Macaca mulatta: one gene and its partner. The protein of the gene in region 1 interacts with the protein of each later gene in a pairwise test. Links are inferred from orthologs where the notes say so. Each region holds a gene or a part of one and is shown in the gene's direction. Other genes may lie near its edges. The genes, in order: GMCL2 and CHCHD3.

What was found.
Region 2: the proteins of GMCL2 (region 1) and CHCHD3 interact in binary tests that used the Homo sapiens proteins (3 or more experiments, as listed by UniProt). The two-hybrid records come from large-scale screens. The link is inferred for Macaca mulatta from reciprocal best matches to the Homo sapiens genes GMCL2 and CHCHD3.

Annotation. Positions count from the first base shown.
Region 1 is NC_133411.1:186,995,293-187,010,816, reverse strand, and holds GMCL2 (germ cell-less protein-like 2), read left to right. Parts: upstream 1-5,705; 5' UTR 5,706-5,867; coding exon 5,868-7,439; 3' UTR 7,440-7,539; downstream 7,540-15,524. UniProt on the Homo sapiens protein: Possible function in spermatogenesis. Probable substrate-specific adapter of an E3 ubiquitin-protein ligase complex which mediates the ubiquitination and subsequent proteasomal degradation of target proteins.
Region 2 is NC_133408.1:172,771,905-172,788,004, reverse strand, and holds the start of CHCHD3 (MICOS complex subunit MIC19), read left to right. Parts: upstream 1-6,833; 5' UTR 6,834-6,916; coding exon 6,917-6,997; intron 6,998-16,100. UniProt on the Homo sapiens protein: Component of the MICOS complex, a large protein complex of the mitochondrial inner membrane that plays crucial roles in the maintenance of crista junctions, inner membrane architecture, and formation of contact sites to the outer membrane.

The DNA of each region.
Region 1 (15,524 bases):
CTCCTTCTCCTCTTCCTCCTCCTTCTCTCTCTCTCTCTCTCTCTCTCTTTTTCTTTCTTTCCCTGTCACCCAGGTTTGGGATGCAGTGTTGAAATCATAGTTCTCTGTAACTTGAAACTCCTGGGTTCAAGCAGTCCTCCCACGTTAACCTCCAAAAGTGCTGAGATTACAGGTGTGAGCCATCGTGAGTGTCCCTGGCCACATTTCAAGTACTCAGTAGCTGCAGGTAGCCAGGGGCTACTATGATGAACAGGGCAGATCTAGACCAGAGGTTGGCAAACTATTGCCCATAGCCCAAATTTTGCTTACTGCTTGATTTTATATGATCCCTGAACAAATAATGATTTTTACATTTTTAAATCATTGAAAAAAAAATCAGGCTGAGTGCAGTGGCTCATGCCTGTAATCCCAGCACTTTGGGAGGCCGAGGCAGGCAGATCACTTGAGATCAGGAGTTCAAGACTAGCCTGGTCAACATAGTGAAACCCCATCTCTACTAAAAATACAAAAAAATTAGCCGAGTGTGGTGGCACATGCCTGTAATTCCAGCTACTTGTGAGGCTGGGGCAGGAGAATCGCTTGAACCTGGGAGGCAGAGGTTGCAGTGAGCTGAGATCACAGCCTGGGCAACAGAGCAAGACTCTATCTCAAAAATAAATAAATAATCAAAATAATAATATTTCATAACACATAAAAATTGTATGAAACTCCACTTTCAGCATCCATAAATTAACTTTTACGTTCTGTCAATAACAATCCCCCCAAATTATGGAATTTTGTTTTATTTCTTGTTACGTACTTACCTACTTAATACCCTCGATTTTGCCTGTTGGCCCAAAGCATAAAATATTTATTCTATCCAGGCATGGTGGCTCATTCCTGTAATCCCAGCAGTTTGGGAGGCCAAGGCAGGTGGATCACTTGAGGTCAGGAGTTCGAGACCAACCTGGCCAACATGATGAAACCCCATCTCTACAAAAAATTCAAAAAATTACCCGGACATAGTGGCACATGCCTGTAATCTCAGCTACTTGGGAGGCTGAAGCACAGGAATTGCTTGAGCCTGGGATGTGGAGGTTACAGTGAGCCAAGATAGCGTCATTGCACTCCAGTCTGGGCAACAAGAGTGAAACTCTGTCTCAAAAATAAAATAAATTATTTTTAAAATAAATAAAATAGAGATCATAAGACACAAAACAGATTTTTTTTTTTTTTTAAGACAGAGTTTCACTCTTGTTGCCCAGGCTGGAGTGCAATGGCATGATCTCGGCTCATTGCAACCTCTGGCTCCCGGATTCAAGTGATTCTCCTGCCTCAGCCTCCTGCATAGCTGGGACTACAGGCGCCCACTACCACATCCAGCTAATTTTTTGTATTTTTTTTTTTTTTTTTTTGAGACGGAGTCTCGCTTTGCCACCCAGGCTGGAGTGCAATGGCCAGATCTCAGCTCACTGCAAGCTCCGCCTCCCGGGTTCACGCCATTCTCCTGCCTCAGCCTCCCAAGTAGCTGGGACTACAGGCGCCCGCCACCACGCCCGGCTAGTTTTTTGTATTTTTTAGCAGAGACGGGGTTTCACTGTGTTAGCCAGGATGGTCTCGATCTCCTGACCTCGTGATCCGCCCGTCTCGGCCCCCAAAGTGCTGGGATTACAGGCTTGAGCCACCGCGCCCGGCCAATTTTTTGTATTTCTAGTAGAGATGGGGTTTCACTATGTTGGCCAGGCTGGTCTCAAACTCTTGACCTCTTGACCTCAGGTGATCCACCCGCCTCAGCCTCCCAAAGTTCTGAGATTACAGGCGTGAGCCACCATGCCCGGCTCAAAACAGGCTTTTTATAGCAATAAGATGCCAAATTTCTACCTGACTCTGGTACAACATCACATAACAGATAGCAGACCCTGAAGGAAATCAAAATACTTTACCCCAAAATATATTTATTTGACAATATTTTGAAATGGCCCTGCAAAGCTGTCTCCTGTGGGGGAAATTTGCATCTGTAGAGAATTTCCATTAATTCAGCCAGGACTTTCTCAGATTTAGGAGAGATTCAATGAGAGTCTGAAACCTTTGAAGGTCTGAAAAGAGACATTCACTATCTATTCTCAGGGTTGCTACCTGGAGGCCATCTACGTAACAAGAACCTCAGCTTCCACAACCCCCTTATCTTAAGCATTTCTTCCCACTGACTTCAACTCTGTTTTTTTTTTTTGAGATGGAATCTTGCTCTGTTGCCCAGGCTGGAGTGCAGTGCACCCTCCACCTCCCCGGTTTCAAGCGATTCTCCTGCCTCAGCCTCCAGAGTAGCTGAGACTACAGATGCCTGCCACCACACCCAGTTAATTTTTGTAGTTTTAGTAGAGATGGGGTTTCACCATATTGGCCAGGCTGGTCTCAAACTCCTAACCTCGTGATCTGCCCTCCTCGGCCTCCCAAACTGCTGGGATTACAGGCGTGAGCCCCCATGCCTGGCTTGACTTCAACTCTTTATTTTATTTTATCTTATTATTAGTATTTTTTTTGGAGATGGAATTTCATTCTTGTCGCCCAGGCTGGAGTGCAATGGTGCGATCTTGGCTCATTGCAACCTCCGCCTCACAGGTTCGGGCGATTATCCTGCCTCAGCCTCCAAAGTAGCTGGGACTACAGATGCCTGCCACCATGCCTGGCTAATTTTTGTATTTTTAGTAGAGATGGGGTTTCACCATATTGGCCAGTCTGGTCTCGAACTCCTGACATCAAGTGATCCATCCACCATGGCCTCCCAAAGTGCTGGGATTACAGGTGTGAGCTACTGTGCCCAGCCTATTTTATTTTATTTTATTTTTGAGACAGGGTCTCATTCTGTCCCCCCAGTTGGAATGCAGCGCTACAGTCATGGCTCACCATAGGCTTGACCTCCTAGGATGAAGTAACCCTCCCGCCTCAGCCTCCCGAGTAGCTGGGACTACGAGTACACATCACCATGCCCAAGTAATTTTTAAAATTTTTTTGTAGACACCAGGTCTCGCTGTGGTGCCCAGACTTGTCTAAAACTCCTGGGATCAAGCCATCCTCCTCAGCCTCTCAAAGTGCTGGGATTCCAGACGTGAGTCATTGTACCCAGCCACTTCAACTCTTTAGACACAGCTTAACTTTTCCAACCAATTGCCAATCAGAAAACCTCTGAATCACCTATGACCTGTAAAGCCCCCGGAGTTGTCCTGCCCTTAGAGGCCGAACCAATGTGCACCTTCTATGTATTGATTGATGTATTTGCTTGTAACCTCTGTCTCCCTAAAATGTATAAAGCCAAACTGTAACCCAACCATCTCAGGCACACTTTCTAAGGACCTCTTGAGACTGTACCCCAGGCCATGGTCACTCACATCAGCTGAGAATAAACTTCTTTAAATATTTTACAGAGTTTTGTTTGTTTGTTTGTTTTGTTAACACAGACCATTCACCTGGCCCCTTAACTCCAACAGAAACTCCAGATTTGCCTTTGGAATCAGGAGGCTGAACTTCCTGACTTTGCAGCTCTGGGATTTAGGACAAGTCACTTTTCCTATTGAAACCTCTGCTTTCTTCATCTGGGAATGGGGCAGGCACTCACGCAGGTTTGAGGAAGCCACCAGGGCTGGTTGCTCTTCACTTGTGTCCAGCATCCTATCCACCTCCCTGGCATGGCACCACCTCCCCCTGCAGCACTGGTCCATCTAGGGTTCCTCACACCTATGTATCTGGCCCTGATGCCCCTCACCAATCTCTGCCCCCACTGCGACAAAGGTGGAGCCCCGCATGGTGGTGACTCCTCCATTGCTCTAGCAGCACAGACCTCCATCTGCCTGAAACAGCCTCCCACCTTCCTCATCAAGTCCTGTTTTCTTGCAGGAAGACACCCACACGCCCCAGCCATCCCGTCCCCCAGGACTGGCCAAGCAGTTCCAGCACGCCTCTCAGGTGGTCTCCGTGTGTGCCCTTTTCCAGCTCCCCCGGGTCTGGGCCTGGGTCAGCCCTTTACACACACAGGGTTCCCAACAAGTAGCTTCCAGATGGCCTGGTGAGGATAGGCTGCAGGCCAAATTTCCAGGCCCATGCCCCGCTTCTCCACGCCATCCCCCAGGGACAAAAGCCTCCTCGATTCTAACATCCTAATCCTGCTGCCCCGTCTCCACAGATCTTCCCCGCAGAGAATCCCTGCCCATCCTGCCCTGGCCCTCTGCTTGCTTCTGCCTTCCCAGACCAGCTGCAGTCATCACTCCACCCAGCCATGGTCATTTTCACCATATTGGCCAGGCTGGTCTCGAACTCCTGACCTCGTGATCCACCCACCTCGGCCTCCTAAAGTGCTGGGATTACAGGTGTGAGTCACCATGCCTGGCTTGACTTCAACTCTTTATTTTATCTTATTATTTTTTTGGAGACGGAGTTTTGCTCTTGTCACCCAGGCTGCAGTGCAATGGCGAGCTCTTGGCTCACTGCAACCTCTGCCTCCTGGTTTCAAGCAATTCTCCATTTCAGCCTCCTGAAAAGCTGGGATTACAGGTGTGCGCCACCACACCCAATTAAATTTTATATTATTAGTAGAGATGGGGTTTCACCATGTTGGTCAGGTTGGTCTCAAACTCCTGACCTCAAGTGATCCACCCATCTCAGCCTCCCAAAGTGCTGGGATTATAGGTGTGTGCCACTGAGCCTGGCCTATTTTATTATTTTATTTTATTTTCGTGCCTGGTCACAAATTTACATTGGACTGGTTAGGCTCAAGCACCTGGCACACACATTTGCCTTTGTCGGGTCCCACAAATAAACCTTTGCTCCTGGGGAAGTGGTGCTTCTAAAACGGACCTTGGTTTTGGCTGCCAGATGAGAATTGCTTCCAGCAATGAAGAATGCTGTCCAAGGAGTTCAAGACCACCCTAAAAAAAGTTTTTTTAGGCCCGAGGCGGTGGCTCACGCCTGTAATCCCAGCACTTCGGGAGGCCAAGGCAGGCGGATCACCTGAGGTCAGGAGTTCGAGACCAGCCTGGCCAACATGGTGAAATCCCGTCTCTACTAAAAATACAAATATTAGCCGGTCGTGGTGGCAGGCGCCTGTAATCCCAGCTACTTGGGAGGCTGAGGCAGGAGAATTGCTTAAACCCGGGAGGTGGAGGTTGCAGTGAGCCGAGATCACGCCATTGCACTTCAGCCTGGGCAACAGAGCCAGACTCTGGCTACAAAAAAAAAAAAAAGGCTGGGCGCGGTGGCTCAAGCCTGTAATCCCAGCACTTTGGGAGGCCGTGATGGGCGGATCGCAAGGTCAGGAGATCGAGACCATCCTGGCTAACCTGGTGAAACCCCGTCTCTACTAAAAAAAAAAATACAAAACACTAGCCGGGCGCGGTGGCGGGTGCCTGTAGTCCCAGCTACTTGGGAGGCTGAGGCAGGAGAATGGCGTGAACCCGGGAGGCGGAGCTTGCAGTGAGCTGAGATCCGGCCACTGCACTCCAGCCTGGGCGACAGAGCGAGACTCCGTCTCAAAAAAAAAAAAAAAATTACAAAAATTACCCGGGTGTGGTGGCGAGAGCCTGTAATCCAGCTACTCAGGAGGCTGTGGCAGGAGAATCGCTTAAACCCGGGAGGCGGAGCTTGCAGTGAGCTGAGATCGAGCCACCGTGCTCCACCCTGCGCGACAGGGCGAGACTCTGTCTCCAAAAATATATACATATCTGTAGTGGGGGAGGGGTGCGGAGGATGGAGGCGGCAGCGTCCGCTGCAACGGTTGGGCTGCGCGTGAGAAGCTGGCGGTGCAGGCACCTGCGCTCGGGGAAGGCTGGCGGCGGCGGCCGGGCCGTGGCGGGACACCCCCTCCTCCGGGCTCCCTGAAGTCCCGGGAGCCGCGACCCATGGGATCGTCGAGCAGCCGGGTGCTGCGCCAGCCGAGGCGAGCCCTTGCCCAGCAGGAGCAGGGTGCCAGGGCGGGGGGCTTGGCCGGGAGGCCGGACCCTGGAGACCCTGCAGCGGGCTACGGCTTCTGTTACTGCCCGGGCAGTCACAAGAGCAGCGGGGCCTTCCGCTACTGTCGCCCTGACTCGGAGAGAGACGAGGATGAGGAGGAGAGGGACGAGCAGCAGCCTCTCCTCCACATCCCTGCAAGGAAAAAATTAAGGAGTACATCCAAATATATTTATCAAACATTATTTTTGAATGGTGAAGACAGTGACATTAAGATTTGTGCTCTAGGAGAAGAATGGCGATTACACAAAATATATTTATGTCAGTCTGGCTACTTTTCTAGTATGTTCAGTGGTTCTTGGAAAGAATCCAGCATGAATATTATTGAACTGGAGATTCCTGACCAGAACATTGATGTAGAAGCGCTGCAGGTTGCGTTTGGTTCACTGTATCGAGATGACGTGCTGATAAAGCCCAGTCGAGTTGTTGCCATTTTGGCAGCCGCTTGTATGCTGCAGTTGGATGGTTTAATACAGCAGTGTGGTGAGACGATGAAGGAGACAATTACTGTGAAAACTGTATGTGGCTATTACACATCAGTAGGGACCTATGGATTAGATTCCGTAAAGAAAAAGTGCCTTGAATGGCTTCTAAATAATTTGATGACTCACCAGAATGTTAAACTTTTTAAAGAACTCAGTATAAATGTCATGAAACAGCTCATTGGTTCATCTAACTTATTTGTGATGCAAGTGGAGATGGATGTATACACCGCTCTAAAAAAGTGGATGTTTCTTCAACTTGTGCCTTCTTGGAATGGATCTTTAAAACAGCTTTTGACAGAAACAGATGTCTGGTTTTCCAAACAGAGAAAAGATTTTGAAGATATGGCCTTTCTTGAAACTGAACAAGGAAAACCATTTGTATCAGTATTCAGACATTTAAGGTTACAATATATTATCAGTGACCTGGCTTCTGCAAGAATTATTGAACAAGATGCTATAGTACCTGCAGAATGGCTGTCTTCTGTGTATAAACAGCAGTGGTTTGCTATGCTGCGGGCCGAACAAGACAGTGAGGTAGGGCCTCAAGAAATCGATAAAGAAGAACTGGAGGGAAATAGCATGAGGTGTGGTAGAAAGCTTGCCAAAGACGGTGAATACTGCTGGTGTTGGACGGGTTTTAACTTCGGCTTTGACCTACTTGTAACTTACACCAATCGATGCATCATTTTCAAACGCAATACACTGAATCAGCCATGTAGCGGGTCTGTCAGTTTACAGCCTCAAAGGAGCATAGCATTTAGATTACGTTTGGCTTCTTTTGATAGTAGTGGAAAACTAATATGTAGTAGAACAACTGGCTATCAAATACTTATACTTAAAAAGGATCAGGAACAAGTGGTGATGAATTTGGACAGCAGGTTTCTGACCTTCCCTTTATATATCTGCTGTAACTTCTTGTATATATCGCCAGAGAAAAGAATTGAAAATAATCGTCACCCAGAAAATCCAGAAAACTGAAGATCTCATCAGTTGGAAACAGTAGCACTTTGAAAACTTTCTAGGCCAGCTTTAATTTAATGGCTCTACTGATATTCACATCTAAGGTGACTAACGATGGTATGTCTGTACAGACAATACAGAAGATTATTCTTATCCTCATTGCATTTCTCTGCATATATGAACAAAACATTTTAAAGCCAAGAAAATATCTGTCGAACCATTTCTGTTAGTACAATGTCAACTCATGCTTTTAATTTAGCAACAGCAGAAAATTACTGTAGGTAAATCTCACATTTATCTGCAACAAAATATAGATTTAATTTTTAGCTTAAACTTTGTTTCTACCTTATGTTAGTGGACCTCAGTTATCCATCAGTAAATTTATTTTTATTTGGCTAAAATAATCTAAAAGAATAATTTAGATGGCCAATTAGAAATGCTGTTTTGAGTTGGTGCATTTAAAGCTTTCTTTTAATATTTTAAACCGGCTTATTATGATTCCTCCTTTTAGTCTGGTATCTTTCCAGTTCATACGTGTTTTTAATCATTAAATGCTTTCTTCCTGGTTTTGGAGACTAAGCTGAGAAACTTTTTTAAACTTAAGCATTGTCATGCTATTTTTTAAAATTTGGCTTTCCTAGGATTTTAAGAACAATGAAAGTTAGCTTCACACCTTCAAATGATCTTGAATGAGTGAAAAATCAGTTTGATTCCAAGGATATTTCTTGCCTTACATGGTCTTTTCTTTGACAGTCTGTACACCTTTATTATTAGTTTTTGAATTATTTACATAAATATTATGTAATATTTATTATACTTTTAAATATATTTATTATATATTTATTATATTATAATAAATTATTATACTTTTAAACATTAAATACTTTTAAAACAGATATTATACTTTTAAACATTAATACTCTCTGATCTTTGGAATTATTTGTGTGCAAATTTTAGTTGGGAGTTTTGTTTCCTACTTAAGCTCAGGACTTTACACCCTCTGAGTTGAGTGCCTTTGAGTGACACATGCTAACAGAAATTTCATAGTAAATATAAATAAGGTCAGAGGATCTAATATAGAAGCTGATGAAGCATTAATGTAAAAATGGAACTCATTTTTGTCAAAATTGAGATGTATACTTGTCATGATTTAGATATGTTGACCTTTTGTGTTTATTGCTGTTTTGAATATAGCCATGTTCATTTTCTTTCCAGTTAGAGTAAGTACTTCTGTGGTTAATGTATATTTTTATTGTGGCTTTTAAAATGGGAATAATTTGTATGTATCTGTGCAAATAATAAATGCACATTTGGAAAAAGAATAAGTAAGCTCTTATATAAAATGGACCCAAAAAAAACCTTAATTGAAACCAACATTTTTTTTCTTTCTAGTTGGAATTTTTTCCAACTCCTTTTAACTTTTGGAATTTACTAATAATTTTTTTCTTTCTTAATGATATGTCCATAGGTTCATAAATTGCTTTTTCTTTTAAAATTCATCCACTTGGTTTAACTTAAAGGAACATTTTAAATACCTCACCCTTGACCCCCAAAGCTGGAATTTAAATGTTTCTAATACAGTGATTTGGCTGTTATCAAGAGGTTACATTTCAGCTGGGCGTCAGCCGGGCATGGTGGCTCACACATGTAAGCCCAGCACTTTGAGAGGCTGAGGCAGGTGGATCATTTGAGGTCAGGAGTTTAAGACCAGCTATGACCAACATGGTGAAACCCCGTCTCTACTAAAAATACAAAATAAAAATAAGCTGGGCATGGTGGCATATGCCTATGATCTCAGCTACTCAGGAGGCTGAGGCAGGAGAATCACTTGAACCCGGGAGGCAGAGGTTGCAGTGAGCGGAGATCACACCATTGCCCTCCACCCTGGATGACAGAGAGAGACTCCGTCTCAAAAAAGAAAAAAAAAAAGAGGTTACATTACTTCTTTTTATATTTGACTAGATTAGGCCTCTTTCACAGGAAGCTGTTGTTTTCTTTCCGTCTCATTACTGTATAAAAGGTTCCTGACACTTTTTGTATTGAAAAATATAGAAATACCAAACTTCAGTTATTTGGATAATTAAATTTTTGAAAATCTTGGAAGGAAAGATAGTGATAGTGTTTGAGTATATTAATGAATAAAGTTAACTGTTTCATTACACTTATATAAGTTAACTGGCCAAATTGGAATTCTATGTGGTTTCATCCACTGCTTCTGTCCTGGCCAAGTTGCTTATGTCATCCATAGACAGGATAATTATTTCTTCAATCACAAGTAGGTTAATGTTCTTAGTTGAGAAGTTGATCATTGTCAGTTCGTAATTCACATTGGTCGTAAAGATGTGCTTTTGTTTTCTTACCAAATACTTTTAAGTGTTTGCATAGTATGTTCTTTTCAATAGAAATATTTTCTATAGGTCGGGCGCAGTGGCTCACGCCTGTAATCCCAGCACTTTGGGAGGCCAAGGCAGGTGGATCATGAGATCAGGAGATTGAGACCATCCTGGCTAACACAGTGAAACCCCATCTCTACTAAAAATACAAAAAATCAGCCAGGCGTGGTGGCGGGCACCTGTAGTCCCGGCTACTCGGGAGGCTGAGGCAGGAGAATGGCATGAACCTGGGAGGCGGAGCTTGCAGTGAGCCGAGATCGCGCCACTGCACTCCAGCCTGGGTGACAGAGTGAGACTCTGTCTCAAACAAACAAACAAAAAAAGGAATATTTTCAATAAAGTGTTAATAGTGTAAGTTAAACTATTGTATAAACTATGGTTTATGAAAAAAAATTTTTTTTAGAAAATTACCTGGGCATGGTGGCACATACCTGCAGTCCCGGCTACTCTGGAGGGGAATCACTTGAGCCCAGGAGTTTGAAGCTGCAGTGATCTGTGATTGCACCACTACATTCCAGCCTGGGTGACAGAGGGAGACCCTGTCTTTAAAAAACAATTGTTTTTAAAAGAATGCTATTCAAGAAATGGGTTTCCAACAGGCACTCTTGGCCCCAATTAATGTTTCTCCATTTTGCCAAAAAAGTGAAAACTGGCCCCTCATGAGTGGGACCAGTGCTACGCTGACCTAGGGGTTGTGGGTGCAGCCAGCTGTGGCTGTGGCTGGAGTCATAGGCAGTAAAGGAATTTACTGAGACCGTCATAGGTAAAGAATGGCAGGGTTTTTTTCCTGTAGATATGGTGGTGTTGCTGAGGCTGGTCTTGAACTCCTGGGCTCCAGTGATCCTCCCACCTTCACTTCCTAAAGTGCTGGGATAACAGGCATGAGCTACTGCGCTCAGCCTAGACATTGTACATAAATGGAATCATATAATATGTGGCCTTTCACGTCTGACTTCTTTCACGTCGCATAATGCTTTCAAGGTCAGCTATACTGCAGCACGTATTAGTGTCTCTTTCCTCTTCATTACCAAGGAATTTTCTATATACATATTTTTTTTTGCTGGTTCCCCCTCAGAAGATGAACCTTTTTTTTTTTTTTTTTTTGAGTTTAAGTGTAGACGTCTAGGCCAGCGCAGTGACTCACACCTATAACCCCAGCACTTTGCACTTTGACAGACTGAGGTGGGTAGATCATATGAGGTCAGGAGTTCGAGACCAGCCTGACCAAAATGGTGAAACCCTGTCTCTACTAAAACTACAAAAAATTAGCCGGGCGTGGTCGCGGGCACCTGTAATCCCAGCTGCTTGGGAGGCGGAGGCTGGAGAATTGCTTGAACCCGGGAAGCAGAAGTTGCAGTGAGCTGAAATTGTGCCATTGCACTCCAGCCTGGGTGACAGAGCGAGACTCCGTCTCAAAAAAAAAGAAAAGAAAAGAAAAGAAAAGAAAAGAAAGAAAGAAAGAAAGAAGGAAAGAAAGAAAAGAAAGGAAAGAAAGAAAGAAAGAAAGAAAGAAGGAAAGAAAGGAAAGAAAGGAAAGGAAGAAAGGAAGAAAGGAAGAAAGGAAGGAAGGAAGGAAGGAAGAAAGAAAGAAAGAAAGAAAGAAAGAAAGAAAGAAAGAAAGAAAGAAAGAAAGAAAGAAAGAAAGAAAGAAAGAAAGAAGGAAAGAAGGAAAGAAAGAAAGAAAGAAAGAAAGCGTGGAGGTTTAATAGGCAAAAGAAAGGGAAAGGAGAATAGCTCTGTCCTGCAGAGAGACAGGGGCCCCTGAGTAGCTCTTCTGGTTAGGTGGTGAAATGCACTGGGTTTCATAGACAGCTTGAGGAGGTGGTGTCTGATTTACATAAGGCCCAAAGATTGGTTGGGCCAGGTGTGACGTTTATTGTCCACCCCACTGTAACCTTTTTTTATGCAAACGAGCTTCCTACCTGGAGCGCACCTTTTCCCGTTCGCACAGCTGCCAGCATTTCCCCCAGAGGATGAACCTTGAAATATGTTGGAACACACTGTAGCGCTTGGTCCTGGGTCTTCTGCCTTCTCTGTCTACGTTCCGCCCCTAGGTGAGCTCATCCAGTTTCCCGGCATGAAATTCCAGCAAATGATTCAAATCTCTCTCCAATCTGGCCTTTTCCCCGAGCTCCACAAATGGTCTTCCTCTCCGCTTCCTGACACATTGTACTTAAAACCCTAGGAATCTTCAGAGACATATGAGTGCCTTTTGTATGCTAATGAGATGACTGCTGGCTGGCGGACCCCTAGGTAGCTTCGGGTCACTGGAAAGACCAACGCACCTTTTGAAGACTGGGATTTTCAGCTCCACGCCCCACCCCCCAACCCCCCGCCCCGCCCCCAACCTCCCAGGAAGGGAGAGGGGCTGAAGGTTAAATCACTGGCCGGCGATTTAATCAATCATGCCTCCATTAAAACAAACAAACAAAAAAAACGGGATTCAGGGGGCTCCCAGCTGGCTGAACACGTGGAGGTTACTGGAGCCTGGTGCACTCCTTTCTCCATACCTCACTCTATGCATCTCTTCTGTCTGGCCTGTGTGATATCCTTTAGAGTAAATGGGTAAATGTGTTTCCCTGAGTTCTAGGAGCTTCTCTAGCAAATTAATAAAATCTAAGGAGGGGTCATGGGAACCCCAAAGTATAGCCAGTTGGTCAGAAGTTCCAAAGGTCTGGACTTGCAACTGACCTCTGAAGTGGGGGACACTCTTGTGGGACTGAGCCCTCAGTGTGTGGGATCTGACACTAACGTCAGGTAAATGGTGTCAGAGTTAAACTGAATTAGAAGACACGCAGCAGGTGTCTGACAGAGAATTGCTTGCTTGCTGTGTAGAGGGAAAATACACACGTCTGGGGTCACGGATGTGTTGACTGTTGAGTGAGAGACTGGGAAAAACACTTTAGCTTTTCCTATATCTCAACAACAATCCAATAGCACATTAATATAATTTAAAATGATATTCACGTGGACTTACTCCAGAAAGGCAAGGATGGTTTAATATTAGAAACTCAATTAATATAATTCATTACATAAATAGATAAAATGAGAAAAGAAACCAGTCTTATCAATACCTACTAACAAGGCAGTTGATAAATTTCAACTTTTTTTCTTCTTTCTTTTTATTTTTTTGAGACAAAGCCTCCCTCTGTCACCCAGGATGGAGTGCAGTGGCACGATATCATCTCACGGCAACCTCTACCTCCTGGGTTCAAGTGATTCTTACGCCTCAGCCTCTCAAGTAGCTAGGATTACAGGCATGCACCACCACGCCCGGCTAATTTTTGTATTTTAGTAGATACAGGGTTTCACCATGTTGGCCAGGCTGGTCTCAAACTCCTGACCTCAGGTGATCCACCCACCTCAGCCTCCCAAAGTGCTGGGATTACAGGCGTGAGCCATCATCTTTTTTCTTTTCTTTTTCTTTCTGTGTTTTGTTTTGGAGACAGGGTCTCCATATGTTGCCCAGGCTGGATTCGAACTCCTGGGCACAAGCAATCCTCCCATCTTAGCCTCCCTGAGTAGCCAGGACTACAAGCACACATTGCCCAGCTCAACATATACTTTTATTTGTAAACTTCATTGAAAAAAAATTTTTAGAGACAGAGTCTCACTCTGTCATGCTGGCTGGAGTGCAGTTGTAACTAAGTACCTCTCTTTATCTAAGGAATGATTTAATTATTTTTTTTCTCTCTCTTCTCTTCTTGCTTCCCACCTTCCCCGTTTCCTACTTAGCCTTTTAGAAATACAAATACAGCCTTCTACCTCCCCTTCACCAGACTCCCCCCAGGGAAAGTTTATCTAACTATGGGCTCCAAGACAGAACAAACCAAGGGTTAACAGTTGATTTGCAAACTGAAGCATGCCGGTAAGGAACTCTCACCCTGGAGCAGGCTGCCTGAGAGACACCAGCTTCCCCACAAAGATGTCAACAGTCACCAGCCCAGTGGCCCAGCAGGGAAGGCACCAAGTTCACAGAGACCCCCATCTTGCTCACTTTCTCCCTTGCTTTTTAAAAGTGCCTGCTTTTTGCTCCAAAGGCCAAGTGGCACATTTAAAGGCAGGATGCTTGTGGTGCCTTTTCCCCTAAACTAGCTTCATAATAAATTACTGTCTTTCTTTTTTTTTGAGACGGAGTCTCACTCTGTCGCCCGGGCTGGAGTGCAGTGGTGTGATCTCAGCTCACTGCAAGTTCCGCCTCCCGGGTTCACGCCATTCTCCTGCCTCAGGCTCCCAGATAGCTGGGACTACAGGCGCCCGCCACCACGCCCGGCTAATTTTTTGTTTTTTTAGTAGAGACGGGGTTTCACCGTGTTAGCCAGGATGATCACGATCTCCTGACCTCGTGATCTGCTTCAGCCTCCCAAAGTGCTGGGATTACAGGAGTGAGCCACCGCGCCTGGCCCATAAATTTCTTTCTTTCTATCAGACCTCCCTTTTGCTAATTGAACTCTGCATGCAGCAAGCAACTCACCTGCTATTGGGTTGCAATTCTGGTGGCCCGGACTGGGAAGTGCTGCGTGCTCCGGGTAGGCCTGTGCTTGACCACCTGCTTTCATTACTGGTGAGGACTAGGGTCACCTGTGCGCATCAGCTGCTCGTGGCTAGCAGACCCCATGATGGGGATGTTAGGGAACTTCTCAGAAGCTGCCAAAAATGCTTTGTTTGTGGGAAATCTCCCTTTTGCCTTCTGGCACAACGTTGGCTGCCTTCAATACTTCTCTGGTTCAAAGAAAGTGAACTTTCTTTGTTTACTTTTTTTTGGGGTGGGGGGCAGGGGAAGCCACCATCATTACCAGCTGGGTAACTTGGTCGGAAGTGCACCCGACTGCCCACTGCCTTTTTTTCGGGTGTCACTGCTCTACTTAAGATTTGGCTGGGCGGGGCGCGGTGGCTCACACCTGTAATCCCAGCACTTTGGGAGGCCAAGCTGGGCGGATCACCTAAGGTCAGGAGTTGAGACCAGCCTGGCCAACATGGCAAAACCCTGCCTCTACTAAAAATACAAAAATTAGCCGGGCGTGGTGGTGGGCGCCTGTGATTCCAGCTACTTGGGAGGCTGAGGCCAGAGAGTCGCTTGAACCTGGGAGGTGGAGGTTGCAGTGAGCCAAGATCATGCCACTGCACTCCAGCCTGGGCAACAAGAGCGGAGCTCCATCTCAAAAAAAAAAAAACAACCAAAAAAACAGATTTAGCTGTTAGTGATAGCATTTGAGTATCTGCATTTGTCTGCATGTGGGGCACCCTGAGAGCTCTACTTGGATGTGACTCAGCAGTCCGTGGAGTCATTTGCAACTGCGGAGGGAAATTCAAGACCCCACCTAGCCCCTTTGATTGGGACTCCTTTGGAAGTACGGTTTGTTTGCACGTATGAATGTGTGACTTTGTGGATGGGTCATGATCCCTTCTTCAACAAACAGGAACAGTGTGGATAGCGACCCCACACTCTTTAGTGGCTGCTGGGTTTTCTTTCGGTTGCTTCATCTTTTTTCCTTCCCCTCCTTTCTTTCTCTCATCCCACTTGTAAAACCTGGCTCCTATATGGAAGCCAGCCAGGCTCTATCTTTCTCTATTTTGTTTTCTACCTGCTTTAAATGAGTGTGTATGTGTGTGTTTATGTGTATGTACAGGTATTTTGTTACGTGTTGTGGCCACAAGGTTTCAAATTGGCTTAAAGTTAAGGAGTACTCATAAATTAAGTAAAGTCTTT
Region 2 (16,100 bases), on another chromosome or scaffold:
ATCATGGCTCGCCGCAGTGTAGACCTCCTGGTTTCAGATGATCCTTGGACTTCAGCTTCCTCAGTAGGTGAGATGACAGGTGCACATCACCAAGTAAATTTTGTGTTTTTTGTAGAGATGGGGTCTTGCCAGGTTGCCCAGGCTGGTCTTGAAGTTGCCCAGGCTGGTTGTGAACTCCTGCGCTCAAGTGATCCTGCCATTTCGGCCTCCCAAAGTGTTACAGTTGTGAGCAACTGTACCTGGCTGATTTGGAAGTTTAGGTATACATATATTTTTCTTTTTAGGGGAAGGAGATCATCAGGGATGACTGGATTTTTCCTTTCTTCCCTCTCTCCTTCTTTTCCTTCTTTCTCTTTTTTCCAGCATTCATTCCAAAGATTTGACGTGGTGGGAAAGGGAAAAATCACAAAGGACAGAGGAGTTGGCAGGTAATATTGCTTAGTGATCAAGCTAAGATTTGTGAAAAACCAAATTGCTGCTCAGTGCTCGGCTCTGCATCAAAGTAAACTGCTGACATTCAATACTTAGAGTGCTGGTTTCCTGGGCAGAGACGGAAGAAAATGTGTTGCATTATTGTTGTTGATATTTGGGAAGGCTCATATGATGGGAAGATCCTCTGGTAAGGCTGTATGTGCCCCAGAACCTAGGAAGTGTTGTACGGCTGGGCCTCCAGAAGCCCAGCAGCTTAGACAGAGCCGGCCATTATAAAGACTACAGTTGCAAGGACTTTCTGAATTCTAGACATCCCTAGAAGCTTCTGGAGTCCTGGGTCTTCACATCAGTGCTCTGTATTTGTGAGGCTAAACTAATTTTTTTTTTTTTTTAGAGACAAAGTCTAACTCTGTTGCCCAGGCTAGAGTGCAGTAGTGCAATCTCAGCTCACTGCAATCTCCGCCTCCCAGGTTCAAGCGATTCTCCTGCCTCAGCCTCCCAAGTAGCTGGGATTATAGGTGCCTGCCACCAGGCCTGGCTAATTTTTGTATTTTTAGTAGAGACAGGGTTTCACCATGTTCTCCCGGCTGGTCTCAAACTCCTGATCTCAGGTGATCTGCCCACCTCAGCTTCCCAAAGTGCTGGGATTACAGGCATGAGCCACCGCGCCCGACCAAGACTAAACTAATTTTTAAGGGCTTGCTTTATGTTAGTCTCCCATTTAAACTGGCTTGTATTTCACTATTACAAAGCTGCTCATGGTTTTCTTCTTTTTTTTTTCTCGTTTAAAATAAAAAAACAAACAATTTGGACTTTAATGATAAATAATTTCTATCATGTTTAAATAACTATAAATTATTTTTCAAAAAAATTTTTCATACGTTATCTTAATAACTATACATTCTTTAACAGCTTTGCTTATTTATTTAGAGACAGGGTCTTGCTCTGTTGCCCAGGCTGGAGAGCAGGGGTGCATTTATAGCTCATGGTGGCCTCCAAGTCCTGGGTTCAAGTGATCCTCCCATGTCAGCTTCCAGAATACATAAGACTACATGTGCAAACCACTATGCCTAGCTAATACTTTTTAATAGTGTTATTAATACATAATTTACATGTCATAAAGATCATCCGTTTAAAGTGTACAATTGAATAAATTTCAGTATACTTATAGCATTGTGCAACCATCACAATCTAATTTTAGGCATTTTTATCACTCCTTCAAAAGAAACCATGTATCAATTAGAAGTTACTTTACATCTCACCCCCTCCTACCCTCTCTAAGCCTAATCTTCTTTTGTTTTCCATAGACTTGCCTATTTTGAACATTTCATTTAAATGGAATTATGCAATATGTGGCCTCTTGTGTCTGGCTTCTTTCACTTGGCATAATGATTTAGAGGTTCATCCATACTGTAGTATATATCAGTACTTTCTCCCTTTTTATTACCCAGTAATATTCCATTTTCTAGATATATTACATTTTGTTTTTCCATTCATCAATTAATGGACATTTGAGTTGTTTTTCATACTATTATAAATGGAATTGCTCTCTTTGTTTCATTTTTGGCTTGTTAATTGCCAGTGTATAGAAATACAATTAATTTTTTTTTTTTCGTGATGGAGTCTCACCTGGGCTGGAGTGCAGTGGTGCCATCTCCGCTCACTGTGACCTCTGCCTCCCGGGTTCAAGCAATTCTCCTGCCTCAGCCTTCCCAGTAGCTGGGATTACAGGTGCCCACCACCATGCCTAGCTAATTCTTGCATTTTTAGTAGAGACGGGGTTTCACTATTTTGGCCAGGCTGGTCTCGAACTCCTGACCTCAGGTGATCTGCCCGACTCGGCCTCCCAAAGTGCTGAAATTACAGATGTGAGCCACTGTGCCCGGCTACAATTGATTTTTGTATGTTGATTTTGTATCCTGAAAACTTGCTGAATTTTTTTTTTATTATTTCTAATTAGTTTTGCAGTGGATTCTGTAAGATTTTTCTATTTGTAAGATCATGTCATCTTTGAATAGAGGTAGTTTTACTTCTTCCTTTCCAGTCTGCATGCCTTTTATTTTTCTTGCAGTTTCTTCTTCCACCTATCTTTAGTTTGCCATCATTCTTCATGGTACAGACTCAGTGTTATAACTTCTCTTATTGGTATCTTTTTGTATACTCTGAATTTTCTAGTTTAAATTTGAGAAAGTGAATACAGAGACAGAGAAAAGGGAGAAAGACACAGAGAATCTGAGTAGCTCAAGTGTTAGCTATTATTTTTCTTAGGGCAAAGCTTTGCATTCTTTTCTCTTTTCTTTCTTTCTTTTTTTTTTTTTTTTTTTTTGAGATGGAGTCTCGCTCTGTCACCCAGGCTTGATTGCAGTGGTGCGATCTCAGCTCATAGCAAGCTGCGCCTCCCGGGTTCATGCCATTCTCCTGCCTTGGCCTCCAAAGTAGCTGGGACTACAGGCACCCGCCACCACGCCCGGCTAATTTTTTGTATTTTTAGTAGAGACGAGGTTTCACCATGTTAGCCGAGATGGTCTCGATGTCCTGATCTCGTGATCCGCCTGCCTTGGCCTCCCAAAGTGCAGGGATTACAGGCATGAGACACCGCGCCCGGCCAAAGCTTTGCATTCTAGTTCATAGGTATCTGGCTAGTAAATGCTGCATTTGGATTAGATGACCATTAATAAGCTGTAGCCAGAAAGAAAGGAGGTCACAGGTTCGCGTAGCTCAAGAAGGGATTGCATAGACATGACTGGCCTGGAAATTGACATGGATAGAACAATATTGGTAGAGAAGGCTTTTTTTTTTTTTTTTTTTTTTTTTTTTTTTAAAGATTGCATTGAATTTTTTTTTTTTAAACTCAGAAGGCATCTTTGTAATGTTGGTTAAAATGCATTAGGATGTCTAAAATATTTTTGGATTGTCTGTTTGATAAGACCACTTATATGTTTTTGTATCATAAACAGTGAAGGCACTCACCTATCTTCTCATGCTTAGTATTCATCATCTTTAATATATTTGGTTGAAAGAATTCTATTTAATATTCTAAGGAGATAAATATATTTAAGACAACTAGTGGTTCCTTCATCTCTCTATTCTCTCCAAGAAACACTTTCTTTGTACTTGGTTATTTTGGCAAGTGCTTGTTGAGCATATATTTTATATGGAACCTCCGATATGCCCTATATATTGGGGTAATAAGTGAGAGTGTGTTTGTGGAGGGGAGGGTCCCCCAAAAATGAAAGTCATAATTCCTGGGAGCTCTAGTTCCCAGTAGAAGAAAGAGTTAGGCTGGGCATGGTGGCACATGCCTGTAATCCCAGCACTTTGGGAGGCTGAGGCAGGAAGGTTGCTTGAGTTCAGGAGTTTGAGACCAGCCTGGGCAACATAGTGAGACTGCAGCCAAGTGTGATGGCACACACCTGTAGTCACAGCTACTGGGGAGGCTGAACTGGGAGGGATTGCTTGAACCTGGGAGGTTGAGGCTGCAGTAAGTGGTGCTTGGGTCACTGCACTCTAGCCTAGGCAACAGAGCAAGACCCTCTCTCAAAAAAACCCAAACAACAACAACAAAACAAACAAACAAACACAAAGAAACTTGAGAACAAGTACGAAGTAGCACGTAGTCTCATAACTGCAAAGTAACATAGTAAAATTTGAAAATAATATAATGATGAGATGTAATCAACACTCTGCTACTGACCAGGGATATAGAGATTAAAAAGACATAGTTTCTGCTCTAAAGATTCATACAGTAAGGTTGGGCGCGGTAGCTCACGCCTGTAATCCCAGCACTTTGGGAGGCTGAGGTGAGCAGATCACAAGATCAGGAGATCGAGACTGTCCTGGCCAACATGGTGAAACCCTGTCTCTACTAAAAATACAAAAAAAATTAGCTGGGCGTGATGACACGCGCCTATAGTCCCAGCTACTCCGGAGGTTGAGGCAGGAGAATCGCTTGAACCTGGGAGGCGGAGGTTGTAGTGAGCCGAGATTGTGCCACTGAACTCCAGTCTGGCGACAGAACGAGACTCTATCTCAGGGAAAAAAAAAAAAAAAAGATTAATACAGTACTAGATCAGCACATAATTGGATTCATACAGTAACAGATCAGCACATAATTGAAGCTCAAAAATGTGACTCCACTGTAGATGTCTTTGGCGTAAGAGAATGCCACAGTGTGTTGTGGCCCACTGCTTTTAATGTTGAGAGGGGTTAATAGAAGAACAGTACCATCATTAACCTGATTTCTACTGAGAATCATCTGCCTCTGTAAAACTAAGGTCATATGGCTAAACTTATATGTAACAGTGTGTTTAGCAAAAAATAAATATGTAAATGGATAACCTAATAACTACGTACTGGTCTTGTAGAGGTGAAATGTTGAACTATTAATAGAAACTTTCCACAACAGATCATCTCAACTTTTCTGACGTAGTTTTAATTCCTCCACTAATTTATGCTGTCTTTGTCAATCACTTACTTTTCTCTGCCTAACTCTATTATGGCCTAACTTATGTAACTGAACTAGTAATAGGAGACACAAAAGTGGAAAGTAAATCCTCTGCATATTTGGTGCAAATAATTTATTCTCTGAAGAAATGTATTTTCTCATTGGTTTGAAAACCACAGCACTTACAATTTTACTTTACAAAAAGAAAAAAAATACAGATACATAGTTCATGAGATAAGGGACAAGGACCAAACATACGTTCACTTTTTTTATTTTATGGCTACGACTAAAATGTCACCATTCATGTACTGCATAACAGTGTTTCAGTGAAAGAAAAACCTCATTTCTGACGGCAGAATCGTAAGATTATAACGGAGCTGGAAAACTCCTGTCGCCTAGTATTTACTACACTATGCTTTTTATCATTAGGTTAAAGTGCATTCTTTCTACTTATTAAAAAAAAGTTAACTGTAAAACAGCCTCAGGCAGGTCCTTCAGGAGGTATTACAGAAGGTGCTGTTATCACAGGAGATAGCTCCATACGTGTTATTGCCTCTGAAGACCTTTCAGTGGGACAAGATGTGAAGGTAGAAGACAGTGATACTGATGATCCTGACCCTGTGTAGGTCTCGGCTAATGCGTGTGTTTTGGTCTTAATTTTTAACAAAAATGTTTAAAAAGTAAAAAAAAATTTCAAAAATAGAAAAAAGCTTATAGAATAAGTATATAAAGAAATATTTTTGTGCAGCTATATAGTGTCTTTGTGTTTTAAGCTGTTACTAAAGAGTCAAAAAGTCACCAAAACGAGAAGTTTATAAATTTAAGAAGTTCCAGTAAGCTAAGGTTATTCTTGAAGAATGAAAATATTTGAAAATAAATTTAGCGTTGCCTAAGTGTACAGTGTTGATAAAAGGTACAGTACTGTATAGCCATGTCCCAGGCCTTCACATTCAACTCACCACTCACTCACTGACTCACCCAGGGCAACTTTCAGTCCTGTAAGCTCCATTCATGGTAAGTGCCCTATAGAAGAGTACCATTTTTTATCTTTGATTTTTTTTTTTTAAATGAACTGCTTTAGAAATTCATGTGTCATCCTTGCTCTGGGGCCATGCTAATCTCTGTATTGTTCAAACTGTCCTAGATGTGTTGCCAAAGCGAGCACTTTTACACTGTTTTTTACTGTACCTTTCCTATGTTTAGATGTATTTGGATACACAAATACCACTACAGTATTTACTACAGTAACATGCTGCACATCTTTGTAGCCTAGGAGCAATAGGTTACACCAAGTAGCCCAGGTGTGTAGAAGGCTACACCATCTGGGTTTGTGTAAGTACACTCTATGATGTTTGCACAACCACAGACATCACAAAGTCACCTGACGAGGCATTTCTCAGAAGTAGTCTTCATTAAGCGACCCCATGACTGTAATGAAATGCTAAGTTTTGAGCCAGGAATTTGTGTATAGAACACTAGGAATGGCTTAATTAGGATCATGCATCTTTCTCATTAAACTGTGAGTCCCTTTGAAAGACAGATTATGTCTCTGAATTCAGTGGCCTAAATTTCTAGAATTATGTCTTCCAAAAGTTGCCCAGTTAGGCGTCTGGGGAGTCAAAACCACAACTCCCAGAATGCCGTGCTCCCTTAGCGCGCTCAGGCGCGGGGAGAGAATGTCCCAGCACCCATCGCGCCAGATCGGGACCACAGTTCCCACTACACCTAGGGACTCCGGGGAAAGCTTATCAAACACCACCTGTTGCCATAGCATCCGGGTCGGGTGAACCAATCCGGGCGCCCTCGCCGAACAGAGGCGGGCAGTTCGCATCTCCGACCAACCTGAGGTGTCTTTGTTGTGGCGCGTGACCGGAGGAGGCGGGAGCTCAGGACCGGCGCCTTCTCCTTGCTTCTGGGGTCGTGGCCTTGCTCCAGCTGTGCGGGAAAAGAGTCCAGGCCCTTCCACGCGCGTGTGGGCGCGGGGGCCCCGAAGTGCTCGTGGTTCCGCGCTAGGTCTCCGCTGGGTCAGGAACCGGAGCCATGGGTGGGACCACCAGCACCCGCCGGGTCACCTTCGAGGCGGACGAGAATGAGAACATCACCGTGGTGAAGGGCATCCGGGTGAGTGCCCGTGGACGGGCGGAGGGCCAGTGCTCGGACTCGGACCCCAAAGCCCCATCTTCCCCGGACCTGCTCAGCCTGGTTTCTCCCGTCCCGGCCCCTAGTGTTGTACGGCCAGAAGGCCAGATGTCTGGGAAGAAGCCCAGAGTTTCAAGACGTGGGACATTCATTCAGAGATAGTTGCTGGTTGTGTGCCAAGTGCTAGGCACTGCTGGGGCGGGCGGGGAATGCCAGGTTGAATTATACCCTGCAAGGGCTCACGGTCTACTCGTAACTGTACTGCTCACTTGTTGCAGGACCGTATTTGAAACTCAGTGGCTCAGTGTACCTGTCTGTGAAATGGTTCTCCAAACTCTGCTTTCCCACTGTTCACACCCTGTCTCCCAGGGTGAATTGGCATTTTAAGGATTGCCTTTGTTTTGTGTCATTTAGTGTTCTCCGTCTGATAACACCCCCTCCTCCCACCCGCACCCCACACCCTGTAATCCTCCCTCCCACCTCCACAGTCTTTTCTGGCCTGCCTGGGGTGGCTTCTGGCTTCTCCCTGCTTCACTTTCTCTGATATCTCCTCTTTCCCAGGCGCCTCCTCTGTGACCTGCTGCGCCGAAGTTTTGGACTAGGCCCAGTTGCTTCAGGACTAGTGTCTGCCAGTCTGATAGGGGCTGAGATAGGTTTGCAGTTTTTCAGACCAGTAGAAGTAATGTAGTCATTTCTGACCAACGTTGCAGAGTACTTTTTTTTAATGCCCTTTGCATGCATCTGATACATAAACTGAAAACCTGGTTTTTCTCTAGGGTGTCAGTATACCAGCACTAACTTCATTCACACACTCTCCGCTGCGCCTGAATTTGGAGCCTCACATTTTTGGACGTATGATGCCTGCACCTAGTAAATAAAGCAATTTTGACTTCAGAAAGTTTTATAATAATTTATATATTTTTTTCTGTTATCAACCGGCGTAAATAAATTACATTTGTAAATTATCTTTAACAGTTGTTACCAGGAAATAAAACTTCTTAAATATTTAAAATGTTTTCAAACTTTTTCTTCTGAAACTATTACCTTGAGAATAATTTATTAAACTTTTCTTTATAGAAACTCAGACTGAACTCAGTTTTTGGTTTGTGACCAGTCTTTCTTTATATCATACTAATTAATGGTAGTACTACATTTTGTAATAAAATATCTGGGGCTGCATTCTTTGAGTTACTGTGGTTCAGTTAGTACTCTTTGGAGTAAAAAATTACTGTAAACTTTTAAGTTCTATGCAGAGATTTTAAGACTTGCCATTAGGCCTTCGGTATGCCACTCAGGGTGAAAAATAATTCAAAGACAAAGCAAAATAAGTTTTGGGTGAGAAGACATTGGTTAGAAAAAAATGTATAAATCCATATTCTTATGCTTTAGTACAGACACAGTGCTAACAGCAAACAAAATTGAAAGAATGTGGCCACAGCACAGAGATTCATATCAAACATTAGATAAGGTTGGATGGAATAACTGTGACAGCAGGGATATGTATTCTATTAAAATGGGAAAATTGTCTAAAAAACCTTTTTAAGATTTTTGTTTTTTAAAAAGAAATGTCCTTTGGTCATATAACTTGATAGCATTCTTCATTTGTTTTTCTTTCTCATATAGTACATTTTATCTGTATTGCTACAGTTCAGGCATGCTCATTTTGACCTCTGTGCTTTTCTTCAGAATATACCCTTCACCTGGAATGCCCTTGCGCTGGTCTCCATTGCTTCAGATCTCCTTTTACATGAATGTTTTGCAATCTCCCTGAGCTTCAGTTTTCTCATCTGCAAAATAATGGGACTGAGTACATCTCTCAGATCTCTGTTGTTTTCCAGTCCTGAAATCCTCTGAGTCTGGTGGCACTGTAAGTTTCTTGTAGCCATACTTAGCCTGTTGCAGTTTCCTGTAGAAGTGACATCCATTGAAGTATTGGGTACACAGAGGTCATTCTGATTTCTTTGAGCTCATGATAGAAAGAGTGTCAACTTATAATTAAACAGACAGTTTAAATCTCAGGTTAGATATTTATTACTTAACTTGATTGCCTGTGTGGGTTTTGTCTTGGTCTTTTGTAAATGTTTTCAGTTGATCTTAGTATTTTTCTTGGCTTGAGTTAAGCAGACATCCGTTTAAATCGCAGGTTAGGTATTTATTAGCCTGTGGCCTTTGACAACTGACTTCTTCTCGAATTATTTCCTTATGCATAAAGGGTAATACCATCACTTCCCTTGACTGGTTGTAAGAAGATGAGGTAAGGTATGTAAAGCACCTGGCACATTGTAGGTTTTCATTAAAAAGGCAGCCATTATTATGATAGGGTTCCTTTCACACGCAAAGTTATAAGAGTCTTTGAAAATGCTGTGCCGTGTAGTGGAAAGAGCATGTGCCTTGGAACCAAGCAGACCTGAGTTGGATTCTGTCTCTGCCTCTCACTAGCCCTGTGGCTCTGGACAAGTCACTTTTCATCGTGTTTCCGTATTTAGTATTTCTGGATAAAGCAGCCTACTTTGAGAATTTGACATAATGTGTATCTAGCACAGTGTCTAGTACTTTGACAGTGTTTGCACTTGTGAGTAGTAGCTGTTATTAGAGCTGTTCAAAAGAATGGACACGTGAACTTATGTGAACTTCAAATTTTAAAAAAAATAAGAGCATGTTGTGCCCCAACAGGTGTACCTAAAAGGGTATGGACTGGGAAATGGGAGTCTTGCATTACGTCCTAATTGAGGGTGTTTTTTTGTCTAGGTCTGTTGTAGATGGTTTTTATTTCTTTATATTTTTCTTGGCTTTAAACAGTCACATTGTTTCCTTCTGAGACTTGGGGAAGGATAAGAAACTGCATTCTCAGTATGTACATAAGTCACTGTTTTTAGCTTAGTTTGTTAGAACATGGTGCCGATGAGGCACCAAACTTCAGTTTTGAACTACAGTTGGGTTAGTTCAACTTGGCTGAAGAAAACTTTCCAACTTTGCCCAGTTGTCTAGCATTTATGTCATTGGTTGTAAGAAATGAACGTTTACCAAGCTTATTAATTCAACAGAGTCAGTCACTACTGGAAAACTAATTCTGTGTTCTGTTACACCGTTAAAGATAGTACAGATGGTCTCCTATTAGGATGGTTCGACTTAGAATTTTTTGACAGTGGTGTGGAAGTGACAAGCGTTCAGTAAACTCAGCTTCTGGCATTACCTTCAGCAAAATCCATTGTAAACCAAGGAGCGTCTATAATTTCATCTTCATTTTTTTTTTTTTCATATAATGACTTGGGTTCATTCCCTTAATATAAATATGTTGGCATTTATGAGCTTTCTTTGAGTTGGAGTCTCCCTGTGTTGCCCAAGCTGGTCTCAACTCCTGGGCTCAAGTTATCCTCCTGCCCCACTCTCTGGGACTACAGGCATGTGCCGCTCCACCAGGCTCAGTCATCACTTACCTTAATGTATAAAGAATAACATTTAGTGAACAACATAAGGCTTTTGGTAACTATGCTGAATATTTATTTATTTGAGATGAGTCTTGCTCTGTCGCCCAGGCTGGAGGGCAGTGGCACGATCTCAGCTCACTGCAGCCTCCGCCTCCTGGGTTCAAGTGATTCCCCTACTTCAGCCTCCTGATTAGCCGGGATTACAGGCATGTGCCACCATGCCCTGCTAACTTTTTTGTATGTTTAGTAGAGGGGGGTTTCACCATGTTGGCCGGGCTGGTCTCAAACTCCTGACCTCAAGTGATCTGCCCACTTTGGCCTCCCAAAGTGCTGGGATTACAGCTGTGAGCCTCTACACCTGGCTGAATTTATTAATAGATTGTGTTTCTCTATATTGTTGAGGTCCTTAATTATCTATGAAAGGACCTACTTCAAATTTTAAGTTTAAAGTTTCTTCTCACCTACCAGGTGTTATTTTTCATGGTATTTGTAGGGTCTTGTTTTTTCCCTTTATCCTTAGCAACTGATAGCTTTTCTTTCCTCTTCCGTAAAAATAACCTGTATTTTTGTGCCTGATTCCAACTTTGAATCTGAAACTACTCATATGGATTGGATGAAAGGTCAGTCTTTTGCCTTGCCCTCTTCCCAAGGCTAAACGAAATTCCTAGAGATGGAAAGACGAAGCATTTTCATTACTCGTATTACATGTGGTTGATAGGATTTTTGTGGGCACCTGCCGTGCCTGCTTGGAAAGTGTGCTTACAACTCAATCTTTCGCAAGTTTATCTGAAACATCAAAGCTGTGAGTGAACTCTTCTAGAGCAAATGTCAACTTCAGTGAGTATCATTTTCAAAGATATATTTATGCTTTCCAGACATAAACGAATGTCAGCAGCTGGGCCTTAAAGTTGCAAGCTGAAATTAACAGGAGCCAGTTATGGCAGTATGGATACTTAATATGGAACATAACTCATGCTTTGGGAAGTGTTGGCAGTTGAGAGACTGTAAATGAAGAGATTACTTAATATGGGGTATTATTGAGGATTCTGTAGAGTATGTTATCAGAGACTACAAATTGGGTCAGCCATTGGGAGTGTTGAGGAATATTGTATAAATAATTTAGTTAAGTAGTAGATGATTCGTTTCTTTCAGCTTTAGATTCTATGAAGTTTTTGGGCTGAGTACCATCTTAAGTTGTCTAGGATTTTATAAAGGTAGAGATAATGGTTTCTACTAATGACAAATGTAAAGAAACACAAACCTAAGCTAAGAATTACATATTTCATATATATCTATGAACGTGTATGGGTTCCCTCTCCTCCTTTCCCTTAAGTAACTATTTGGGAGTAATTTCTCCCACATAATAGTAGCAGTTTTTGGAGCCTATGTCTTAAAAAGGTAATGGTAAAGCAAACTAATACAGAAAATGACTTATGCTAAGTGGAAGGAGGATCAAGAGAGAAAAATGGGTCTGAGTTCTTGAATCAATTTGCTAGGACATATCTGGAAGAAGATAAGAGAAACTTCTGGAGGCAGGAAGCTGATTTGTTTGTCTCATGTGGCTCGTAACTTTACCTCTTAGAAGGGCCACTGGAGAGTTCCTCTTTTTTTACTCTCTTCCCTGGGAGTAGAAATACTTTCTGTTTGTCCATCTCACCCAATCTCCTGTTTCTGAGAAAATTCTGTCTTCTGGATTGGTGGGTGGTGTTTCTGGCATGGATTTTGGATAAGACCAAACAAGTTGGGTAGGAAGAGATGAGTGGGAAGACTGTAGGAGATGACACTTGCCCTTTCCCCCTCTGTGGAGCACGTTGGTGTGGTGAGTACTACAAATTTAAACTTGGCAAGCTCTGTTTGCCTAAATTTGTCTTTAGGAGCAGTAGAGAATAGGGTGGACAGTCAAGTTTAGTGGGCTGAATATCGGCAGATGTGCTTCTCTTGGTTGCCTCTTATATTAGAATGGTGGTTCTTTTAGTTTGTAGAGCACTGTGGATCTGTGAGCTGTGGATTCTGGCCAGAACCATGCAATAAACTGACAATTTTGCATACAGTTGAGTAATTGATCCACGGACTACTCAGTCTGTGGACCTCAGGGTGTAATTCCCAGTGTCAATGTGTGTGGGGGTTATGTTATTTCACTATTCTTTGCTACAAATAATTTCTGTAAATTGCCCTTGGTATTTGCCTTGATGCAGATTCCAGAGATGTCTGGAAAGCAAGTATAATAGGTATAGGTTATTATATAGGAAAAGGCTTTTTCTAAAACAAGTGCCCTGTTCAGGAAAAGATGTGTTTCCTGAAGATACTTTTTTTTTTTTTTTGAGACAGAATCTCGCTCTGTTGCCCAGGCTGGAGCGCAGTGGTGCGATCTTGGCTCACTGCAACCTCCGCCTCTTGGGTTCAAGGGATTTTCCTGCCTCAGCTTCCCAAGTAGCTGGGACTACAGGCGCGTGCCACCACGCCTGGCTAATTTTTTGTATTTTTAGTAGAGACGGAGTTTTACCATGTTAGCCAGGATGGCCTCGATCTCCTGACCTCATGATCTGCCTGCCTCGGCCTCCCAAAGTACTGGGATTACAGGCGTGAGCCACCGCACCCAACTGCAAGTTACTTCTTACACAGAGGCTGCCATTGCAGAAGCTTATGTTGTACCATCAACCCCCATTTTGGGTCATTTTTCATCACAAAGATGAGTTGTTCTACAGCTACAGATTGTGTGTATAACCCGGGTCAGCATCTCTAAAGCTTGTCAGCTGCTTCACGAGTGAGTACCCCTGTTCACAGAGGAGATGAGGTGAGTGTGCAGGTCTGAACTTACTACTGCAATGGGAAGGTCAGCTCAGAGAGCATTGACTTTGAATACAGATGATAACACAGCAAGACTATTGCCTCATAACTACATTGCTGTGAGCAGACTGGGAATAGGGTAATAGTGCTTGGAGCTGGCAGAGGTGCAACTGTAGATGGCCATGGGTGCTGCTTTGGAAGGGCCTAAGGATACAGTTGTTGAATGATTGTAAGAACAAGAGAAAGGTGGACTCTCAATAAGGCAACCCTACAGTATGTTTATGAAGCCTACAGTAGGTTTAGTGTATACTCCTTTGGCGCATGCTTATAAATTGACTGAACAATAACCAAACACCTCACTGGGAAATGTTTTGAATTGATGTGAGAATTTGACATTAAGTAGCAACTTGGGACATCAGAGAAGCCTCAAAAAGAAAAAAAAGTTAACAAGAAATTAGTGATTAGGTTGAAAGAGACATTCTACTTCCACTACCCAGAGAACATAGATAGAGAAAAATGAGCACCTTCTCCACCCATACCAGGACTTAGGCAGCTGCTGCCTGCAATAGCTGTAGGCCTAGTCCTCATGCACCTTACAGAGGAGGAGTCAGTACAAGCTCAGACCTAGTTGATAAGAATGAACCAAAATGAAATAAAAAGTCCCTGTGGCTGGAGCTATATGGGTAATAGCTGTAGCAAATATTTGTGTAGTCAATTATAGTTTATGGTGCAAAAGACTAAAATCCCTCCACAAAATCTCTCGGGATAAATATTTTCACTTTTTCAGATGAAAATAGTAACTTTTCAGATGAAAGCTTATTGCTAACACTTGATTTTTGAGATTTATATATATTATATATCAGTTAAAATAGCTTTAAGATTCTAAAAATGAAAGCTCATTTTTTTCTCTTTAAGAGGAAGTGATATATTTTTATTACATGCATGGGATTGAAGGAGTATGTTATTTAATAGTAGAGCATTGGACTAGAGATTGGGAATTACTGCTTCTGGTCTTGATGCTGCCAGTAACTGAATGTTACTCAGGGTCTCTTTTTTTTTCAAGTGTAAATTGAGTCAGTCTTAGAGGGATTTTCCTAGGATGTATCTCAGCTTCGCACATGAGTTTCAGCAACATACCCAGTGGCTGTCAGTTGTTGGAAAGATGCAGCTGGCCCTGGCATTTTCAAATAGAAAGTCTTTGTGTCTTCCCAGAAGGGAGTTGTAGTTTTTTCCTTCAGAGAGCACACACAGCATTTGATCTGTAGCCTTTCTCTTTTCCATCTCACTTCCATTCTGGTTTGGGCCCTGAGATAGAAGTAACAGTTCAGGTATAGGCTATTTAGTTTATTGATGTATGACAGGACCTTGATTAGTACTTGGCCTGGGAGACATCTGTTGAATGAATGACTTAGTATATAGGAGCTTGCAGTCTAGTGGAAAGGCAGAAAGGTGAATGTGGAAAGGCTAATACCTGTTCTTTCATTGAGACTGTATTGGAAGTTTGAGAAAGGAACAGTGGGTACAAGGAATGGTAGCTTTAGGTAGGCAGGGTTGGGATGGAGTGGACAACTGGTTTGATCAGTGAAGGCTTGGATGTTTAGACTGGGTCTTGAAAGGTGACTCCCTCCCAAGGGGCCAGGAGAGAAGGCAATGTAGGCATGTGCAAAGGCAAGGAGATGGGTGTAGAACAGGATATGAAATATTAAGGAAAAAAAACTAGAATTTGAGGTTGGAGAGTTTGGCCATCACCAAATGATGAAGTCTTGAATGCTGTACAAAGAATTTGAATTTTTCTGTAAACAGACAGTAGCTATTGAAGAATTTGAAGTAGAGAGTTACCATCATCACATTTGCATTTTAGGCGGATGGTAGCAGGAATTAGGGCAGGAGAAATGGGATGAGAGAAGAGAGGAATTTATTAAATATTTAGGGATTGATGAAGTCATGGCTAAGAATGAGAGAGAAAGAAGAGTTGAGAACAAGCCCTATGTTCGAATTTAGGAAGCTGGGTGTTTGTGGTGTCATTAATGAGGTAAGGAAGGCAGGAGAAAGAAGAGATTTGTGGCAAACGTGAGTTCAATTTTGGACACTGGGTGTGAGGTGCTTCTGGATTGCCGGAAGGAAGTTTTCATTAGACAGTTCATTGTGGAGACCGGGCTTCTGGGATATAGGTCTCAAGCTCGAGCGAATGCATTTATTAATGGAATTTATTAGTTTATCAACAGCAGTTAGAAATCAAGAGATTGGATGAGAGTACCAGTACAAGAGCACATAGAATAAGAAGAGAATAAGGGCAAAAGACAGAATGTTGGGCCCTTCAGCATTGAAGTGTAGGCAGGAGAGGGGAAGCTGCAAAAGAGATAAGATGTGGCCAGAGTCCTCGGAGAACCAGGACAGCAGGATGTCAGAAAAGCCAAGGGAGGACTTTCCAGAAGAGGGGAATGGCCAGAGGTGTTAGATGTTAAAGGTAAGCCATATAAATAAGATGTTTTATAAATATGAAATACTTAATTACGTAAATATCAAAAGTTATTTATTTGGTCATTGGTGACTTCTACCAGAGGATGTTCACTGTTGCACTGAGGGTAAAAACCAGATAGTGGTGAGTTCAGGAAGTGGAAATGGGAAGAAGACCCTTGATACAGGAGGAGGATCACTCAGTTACTTGAAATGGAAATCCTGGGCTCTTCCTTGATGACTTCTGCTTTACTCCCACATCTACTCGGAGATTGGGTAGTGATGCTGAGGGATGTTTGAGTGGGATCTTGAGACTTAGACTTTTTGGGTTCGAATCCTTCCTCTGCTAGTGATAAAGTATCTGATCCAGGGCCGGTTATTTAATCTGGCTGTGCTTCAGTTTTTTTGCCTGT